Linked DNA regions of Nothobranchius furzeri. The protein of the gene in region 1 purifies or fractionates together with the protein of each later gene. This does not show direct contact. Links are inferred from orthologs where the notes say so. Each region holds a gene or a part of one and is shown on either strand. Other genes may lie near its edges. The genes, in order: eif2ak3 and tbl2.

What was found.
Region 2: the proteins of eif2ak3 (region 1) and tbl2 purify together in Homo sapiens (affinity purification with western blotting; 3 studies listed by BioGRID). This does not show direct contact. The link is inferred for Nothobranchius furzeri from reciprocal best matches to the Homo sapiens genes EIF2AK3 and TBL2.

Annotation. Positions count from the first base shown.
Region 1 is NC_091758.1:5,542,532-5,546,785, reverse strand, and holds the start of eif2ak3 (eukaryotic translation initiation factor 2-alpha kinase 3), read left to right. Parts: upstream 1-1,409; 5' UTR 1,410-1,594; coding exon 1,595-1,860; intron 1,861-4,254. UniProt on the Homo sapiens protein: Metabolic-stress sensing protein kinase that phosphorylates the alpha subunit of eukaryotic translation initiation factor 2 (EIF2S1/eIF-2-alpha) in response to various stress, such as unfolded protein response (UPR).
Region 2 is NC_091750.1:52,607,277-52,611,601, forward strand, and holds the start of tbl2 (transducin beta-like protein 2), read right to left. Parts: upstream 3,084-4,325; 5' UTR 2,998-3,083; coding exon 2,871-2,997; intron 2,193-2,870; coding exon 2,071-2,192; intron 1,618-2,070; coding exon 1,433-1,617; intron 1,310-1,432; coding exon 1,158-1,309; intron 1,040-1,157; coding exon 913-1,039; intron 618-912; coding exon 465-617; intron 107-464; coding exon 1-106.

The DNA.
Region 1 (4,254 bases):
GTTATTCGATCATTACAGTCCCGGTCACCTAAACCAGCATAAACTGGTGCAGCCTTGGAGAGTATCCTGGTTTGGTGTGACAGCGATAAACCAGAGGAAGCTTTCGGATAAGGAAACAACTGGAGGAAATGATGCCAAAACAAAAAGTGCAACACGAAACTTCAGGTCTTCCTTGAATCGTCTGCGAGTTTGAGGTGTTTTGCATGTATTTGTGTGTTTTCTCATGTGTTTTTTTTACCTCCACCTTTTAGCAGAAGTTGGGACCATGCCATTAGGTATAAGCTTATACCTGCCTTTATGTTACTATGGTGTTAGGTCACTGGGTGTCTAGAGCCACTTTACACTAAAGTTTCTGTTGTATAAACCAATGTCAGCTGCTGTTCCGAGCCTTAGATGTTTTTGTTCTACCATCTTTAACGTGTTCCTGTGGAATTGAACTAGTCAGTCATTAGGATCGAATTCTGAAGCCTCGGTGTTTGTTGGAGGAAAACAGACCTCAAATGTACTTGTACACCTTTCCCCTTTGTATGACTTCAGTGTTCAATGCCTGTAAAAGACTGCCCAGTGTTGTGCCATACTCATGCTTATAAAAGGATTGATGATTAAAGTGTCTGGCAGCAGTGTGTCCATGCAATCGAAAGGCCACATTTCCTGTGTCTGCGTTCGTCTCTCAAAAATGAGGTCTATTCGTGAAAACGTGGTTCAGGTCCATGCTCACCACGAGACAGCAGCGCCGTTACCTGGTAGGACTATAAACTCCTCATCAGTAACACGGGCACGTAAATGTAGGCTAGGAGCGTGGCTTCATAAACACGTTTCTTTGCTTGATTTGTGTCACAGTCGCTGCATTTTAGTGAAAGTGTAAAACTGAACTCGTAACCGGAAACAGGAACTGCACCGATTACTTCCACCGGGCCACGTTGTTGTTTTTCATGTCGACGGCTCTTGACAACTGCGTCTAAGCGACAGCTGAATTAACCAATCAGGTGCTCACATGAGGTCACTCGAAACTGATTTAGGCCAATAACATTACGTGATTTCATTATCTTTTCTGTCATTGGACGAACGACTAAACATCCGACCAATCTCAACAACCAAACAGATTTTGCCCCCGGGGACTTTTTACGTCACTTATCCAGTGCGCACGCGCACCTGTGACGAACAGGAGTTTAGCCAATGAAACGGAGTGTTTGGAGGCCGGTGTTTCCGGGTCCGCCTCTTTGAGTGACGGATATCTAACGCAATCATGTTGTGCTTAGTAAGCGAGGACGTGTAACTGACAGCGAAGTACGCAATGAGAAACGCGCGCATTAAAACGCAAGGCCCGTGCGGGTTTACGGTCCAATCCCGGTGTGGAAACGAGGCGGGATTTAGCGTTACTACGGAAAGTCTGGGTCTAGTATAAAGAGAACAACATGGTGTCCCAGAGGCTGTTTATGTTTACTTAAAGAGCTCGTTCAGCGGGGCGTCCAGCACGCGACACTTTTATAACCGTAACCTCGGCTCTTTTATACTTTCACCTTGTTTTTATACTAACTTTTACCAGGGCCGTGGCGTGTGCGTCTCCTCTTTCACTAATGTGCCAGTTCTACAAATGGAAAGGGGGCTTCACTTTGGAGTGAGCACTTCCCTGCTGCTCCTGCTCCTGCTGCTCAAAGCGCCCACCGGTTCCGGGACCTCACCCGGCTGGGTGTCGGGCTCGGCAAAACATGGTCCGAGAGTCATGGAGCGGGGCTTGGAGAGCCTAGGCACCCCCCCGGTCCCCGGTGCAGACGTCACCGTGGAGGACGACGAGAACGGGTCGACAGGTGAGGCCGACGACCCGTACGAAGACGGTAACGGAAGCGTCCGCTCCACAAGGTAAACACGGTGCTAGCTGCTGACATCCATTATCGGACACGCTCGTTTCCAACTTCAGGTGACTTGGAAATTACTAAAAGTTGACGGCTTTTACTTTGATGTGTTTCACCGACTTTCAAACCTGCGACGTGAAGGCTGACGTGACACCTGTGTTGTCATGGAAATGCCCAATAACGTGAACGCCATGAGCAGAAAACAGGAAGGTGCTGTCTGTGTCCGATAATCGAGTCACGTTAAGTTTCCCGGAGCTGCGGTTGTGGCTGCTGTGAAAAGATGGATTTTAGAGGTCATTTATGAACGTGAGACACCTCAGCGCGAGCAGGAAGTTCTGGTTCAACAGAACAGAACAAAAGCAGGACGTCCCAGGTGAGCTGGGACAGAGGTTTGTTTGTTTCTGGTGTGCAGTAAACACCAAAGCTGTCTGGTGTCAACAGCAGAGGTGCTGCCAGCTGGAGCAGGAATCACGTGATCTAATGGCTCCAGCAGATCTAAACATCTCAGGCTGTCAGAGGGAACGTCCAGGTGAACGGTCCACTCAGGTTGCAGCAGCTGCTCAGAGAGAGAAGCGTTTTCCTCGGCAACAGCCGGTTCAACGCCCACCCTCGGTGCCTGTTCCTGATGCTGTGTGTGTTTATTCTGAGTGTATTTGTTTTACACACACTCCTGCAGCTCCCTTTGGCTGGGACCTAACCCCAGACAGCACCAGCAGGCTGTCTGTGGTGTTGATGTAGTTGGATCAAAGTCCTGGAAGCCAGAAACCTGTCCAGGTATAGGTGCAGCCTCTGAACATCACAGCAGCAGCAGCAGCAGCATGGTGATGGGTTTTGGTTCAGGCAGATGTGATCTCACAGCAGGGGGCCGCTGAGCTGCTGCAGGACTTGTTTTTGGTTTACTCTCAAGCACAACTCTGGTGCCACAATGGTGAAGCTGTTTGCTGCACGCTGGAAAGGAATCTGAAAGTAATTAGTGGAGAAGCTTTTCTAGGTACGGTGCAGGTTATTCCCCTGCCGGCAGGTCACACCCTGCTCCCTCTCTGCACCTTCATCCCCTAACATTTCTGCTCCCCTCATGAGCCGCCTCTCCTTCACCAAGGAGCCTTTAGTGCACACTAGACTCCCACTTGTGATTCAGACTTCAGAGCATTTTCTAACAAGAAGTTTGGACCTGAAGTGGCTTTTGATGAGGAGGAATCTGTTGAATCTGATCGAAAACGGGAACTTGTGTGACTTTTTTGTTTAGTAAAGAGTGTCCATGAATCCTGTGTGTCCCCATGTCTCTGTGTGTCCCCACATGTCTCCGTGTGTCCCCACATGTCTCCGTGTGTCCCCACATGTCTCCGTGTGTCCCCATGGGACTCCCTGTGCATTTATTACCTTTGTCTGTTGCTCTTGAGTTTAGTCTTGCTCTTACCCTTCCTTGATGTTCAAACACACACACACACACACACACACACACACACACACACACACACACACACACACACACACACACACACAGCGAGCGTAGGGTTAATGTAATATTGTGTTTTAGTGAACCTGACTTGTGCAGCAGGGTTTCCAGAGGTTCTCTGTCAGACGTGAACGTCTGCAGCATCAGAACCTCTCCCAGCAGTAAATGGGTCCGATCTTCTGTCGTTCCTCTCCTGGAATTCCTTTCAGCTCTTCCTGCTGTTTCCTCCTGAACCGGTTCATTGATGGTTACACAACCACTAATGAACGTACAACCTTTTAATTCTTTTGTGGTGATAATCAGATCAGCTGATTGGTGACTCACTCTTTCCAGGTGAGGAGAAACCCTGAGAGTTTGCGTCTTTGTTGACGATCCTCCCCAGAAGCAGCCCTCTGATGTTTTTGTTGTGTATGAGACGTTCTCGTCATCTTCTGTCATCTATAAATATTCTAGATGTCTGCTTTGATCCAGCCTGGGATTGTGACAAGCGGCGCTCCTGTCGTCTGTCAGCTGCTCTGGAAATGCGCTGCTCCACCTGTTAGTGGATGAGCTCTGATGTGACGGTGCTGCCAGCTTTGATGGCTCAGTTGGGCTCTGGAGCCCCTCGGGGAGCGCTCACAGGTGAGAGGGCGCTTATTCCCTCACTCTCCCTGAAGGCCCTGGAACTGCACTAGCTCTTCTGGTTTCTAACGGCCTACTGCTTAGCAACAACCAATCGGCCGCGCTGGGCTACTTGTCGTCCAATTGCAACTAGAAGATGGGTCAGTGCTCATAATTCAAGCGGGACTCTCGGCTCTGGTTACAGAAAGGTGCGGGAGGAAGTGGTCCGCTCTCTGTAACCAGGGAAACGCCTTTAATAATAGACCCAGATGAGCAGCAGGTGACTGATCTCTGCTGAGCCCCCACTGATCCTGGAAGCTGGTTGTTTTAGATGGGAGTTACTGA
Region 2 (4,325 bases), on another chromosome or scaffold:
GGAGGAGCAAGGGACCGTCTTCAGGAGGTAAGGATCCTGCTGCTTTTTGTACTCTACATCTGTGTTCCACAGCTTCCACGTTCCATCTTTAGAGACGGTGACCATCCTGATCGATAAAAGAAAGAAAAACAAATCAGTTATATTAAAGTGTCGTAGATAATCTGTGTGTTTTTTCCATTTAGCAGAGTGATTGCTTCAGATATCAAACATAGGAACTGGATCTCACTGATGAATTTCAAGCTTCATTGTGCAAACAGAACTAACGATTTAACACCCACTGTGTCCTCATCAGATGACACCCTTGGTGTTGAATCATTAGTTCTGTTTGCACAATGAAGCTGGAAATTACTCAGCGTGCCCCAGATCATCTTTGGTATTGGAAGCTGTTTGTCTTATCGCTTTTAAATTCAAAGCACAACAAGCCTCCTCTGTGGCTCTGTGTTGTAAACAAACACTTTTATTACCTGTGAGAGTTGTTAGAAAAAGCAAAAGCATGAACTCCTGCAGAATGGCCTTTCAGATCAAACGCTCGAGCGACCTCTCTGAACTCTCCTCCCTTCCCAAAGCAAACCTCCCAAACCTTCACGTCAGGAGTGAAACCACAGGATGCTACAAACCTGAGCACAGGGAGAAAACAATGACAATCCTACAGATTTTGATATGCATCCTTTAAAACTATGCAGACCAATTTAGCTTGAGTTGTTTTAGTTTTAGGTTTGTGCAAAATGTGCTGTGGTTAAGCCACCATCAAACCCTAAAAGTCTATTTTGGTGCAGGATGTTTACGCCACCACTGAGAGTTGAAAAGGTCAGGGGAAAAAAAAAAAAAGATTTTAGCAACGAAACCCAGCTACAGATATGCTGAGTCTAAAAAGTAAACACCACATTTTTAATTTAAGTTCCTCTGACTGACCTGCCACAGGGGGAGACAGCAGCATAAGAACTGGTCATCTGGTTGGTGTTGATGGAGGCCAGCAGCTCTCCTTTCAGGTCCCAGATGTGGATAGTAGTGTCTGTGGAGGCACTCATGATGAACTTGCCTGCATGGAGGAAAAAATATCCATGTTTAAAACTTGTGAGAAACATGGAGATCTTTAACATAAAAATAAAAACAACAAGAACATAAAAGAACATTTAATTTATTAATGTGTCCTGTACCCGTCTCTGCAATGCCAATATTGATTATTGGGGCCTTGTGTTTCTGTGGGAAATCCTCAGGTGCAGCCTTGAAGCTGAAAGTTCCGTCATCCTTCTTGATCATTTTTAAGATGCGTATCGTGTCTCCGTTGGCGAGCCAGGTGATAAACGCCCTACAGGACAGGAATGCTTTGAATTGAGTAATGACCCAAAAATGACTAACAGCAGCAGGTTAATGTCTGTGTTAATAAAATAAAAAATTAGGGTGGTTTTATATCAGAATGAGTATGACAGACCTGGAGTCTGGACTGAAGCGGACAAGCGTGGCGTGATCCAGCTCCACATTGGCTCTCAGACACTTGTGTTCCCGCTCCAGGAAGTCTTTGGTGCTCCAAATCCGAACGGTCCGATCATCAGCGCAGGATGCCAAGTACTTCCCGTTACTGCTGAAATCCAGGCATGTCACGTTCCCGCTGTGGCCCTAGAGGGAACACAAATGAGCAGGAGGAATTGTAAAAGGGCTAAATATTTAGAAAAAAAATCTCTATTTCTTGTATTTTTAACGCGCGTCCACCATTACTACACGTGAGCAGTAAATTCTGAGTCAATGATGCAAAAAGGCCACCCTTCAATAAATAAAATAAACTCTTATTAAGAGTGTTTCTTGTAATTTTAAGTGAGATAGTAACAAAAGTCTGGTTTTAGTTAGAAAGATTAAGGGACAGATTTTTAAAGAGGCAACAACCTCTTTACAATATCTTTACAAATGTAGGTGTGTGTAAGACTTTAATATAATTAGGTCAAATGATACAGAGGCTGAACGTGAGCTTATCTGTGAATAATACATGCACATTGTGGTAAAGCTGGTTTCGTGTTATGATCTGTGATCTTAGATGAGGTTTTGTGTGTGTGTGTGTGTGTGTTTTCAGTTTACCTTCAGTGAGGAGGCCAACAATGGATCGCTGAAACTGTGCTGTGCAGGTTTATCTTTGCGACTTCGCTGCTTTTCCTGCTTTGGTTTCTTAGACGTAGGGCCTTTTGCAGCACTGGATTCAACTGAAGCACAAATAGTTGTCATAATTTACACTGTGTGTGTGGGGAGGGGGGGATAGTTCTTGTCAACAAGTCAAAACGTCAGAGTATTTGACAACACAATTCTGACAATACGTCAGCTTGTCAATTAAAATATAACAGAGCATTTTTTCTAATTAATAATATCTATATATTATTAGTCTGAATTGGTAGAACTATAAATGCGTAAAAATAGAAGGCTTGCGTTTGTGAAGGACGTTATTCTATTAACGTCAACATAACTTAAGTGAAAACAGAAGAAACTGGTGAATCGCTAATTCATTATCACTTCAAGTATTTATTATATCTTAATTATTGTAATAAATGCCAACATCACACACTGATCTGATCGGAGAACATGTTTCACCAGTTAAATTATGGTAATAAAACGATACAATCAGGTTACTCAAAACCGTGACCCCATTGGTCCGTCAACAAAAGATGTCCCCATCGGCCAAAGGCAGGTGGTAGTCGCTGAAAAGTTCCTTCAGTTAATGTTTTCAGTCCGAGTTTAAATTGGTAGAGTGAATAATATTGAAAACACAGTGACTTTATATTAAACATCGAATTATTTGATAAACGAATAATTGCGTTAATTCAACAGACTCAAACGCTGCTAACTCTCCGCGTTTCTGAGTCACCAATGCGGTAATGTGCTCCTACCTGAACTCTCCACTGTTTGCTCTATTTCTTCTCTTTTCTCTTCTTTCCGTCTCCCCACCGCTAATGCCACCAGACCAACCAGTGCACCCAGTAATAAAGTCACAGCAACCAGAGCAGCTATCTCCATGTCGAAGTATTTCTGCCACGTATTTCATACACTGCTAAAAGCTAGCCCATTCTAACAGGGCTCTGCGCATGCGCTCAAATACAATTCTTTTAGAGATACGTTCACGATCCCCAATTTCAACCGTAAATATAAGCTGTAAAATTAAATAACTTAGAAACCGCATGTTCAAAATTTTCTAATTTAATTTCTGAAGTTGTGTAGCAATAACTATCGGCTTTATGTTTAATATTGGTTTGCTAAAAGCAAAAAGTTTATTCCTGAAAAAGAAATATACTCAAAGTGAATCATAAAGCCTGAGCTAGTAAAATGGAGACAAATTTTGTACTAAATCGTTATTCACCAGCTCTAGAAGATTTAATGTGTATTCTTACATGTCATTATCCCACACAGTGGCAAAAATACACTAAAGCTTTACATGAAATAAACTCACAGTAGGTGTAACTTCGTACTACTGATATTCAGTGAATCCAATAAAAATAGCTGTGGACCACCTAGTGGACTGGAATGTAATCGACAACGAGAAACGTGCAGAAAACGATGATAAATTATTGCTATGAAAACTTTTAAATACGTCAAAAGAAGCTCTCAACTTTTGATTCATTATAAATTCTTTGACTAATGGCAAATGACAAAATATATTACGTATATAATTCCAGCTGTAGTTTCCTTTCATACGGTGCACTGTGTGGGATTTTAAAGTCGAGCCAGATCACTAAATCACACTAAAAAGTGTTGCCATGGTACCAATAAATATAACTTTTAATGTTCACCAAATCACTTGCATTTCATTTTTATTTACATTTTTCGCAACAAAGCTTTAAAAACGGCTAAAATATCAAATGGAGTTGAACAATTGAAATTAATTTTAGTTTTCTGGTCATACGGTTTGATGACATGAGATAGTGAGGGGTTTCAGGTGTATTTGTTCAAGCATCCGCACAAACCCAAACTTTTTATTCATTCGAAATTGACCCAAAATAACTGCACAGGTGATAATCACTGAGTGAGAACAGGTCATTTTGACAAAAAAAAAAAAAGTATATATATATATAAATCCTTAAAGTCAGATGGAAATATAAGCCATAAAAACAAACCTGCATCTTTGAGACTTTGTCCTAAACAACCAGAAAACACTTTCAGTTCCATCAATGGTGGGTTGACTCGTGGGAGGTTAATTTTGCATTCACGACATAATATTTCTGAAGTTGGGGTAATGTGCTGTAAAGATTATTTTAAAAACAATTTATCACACCTTAGCAAGCAGCAGCTGAAATTAAAATCTAATATTTTCTGTAAATGAATAAAACATTTCAGTGCCTGGGATTTAA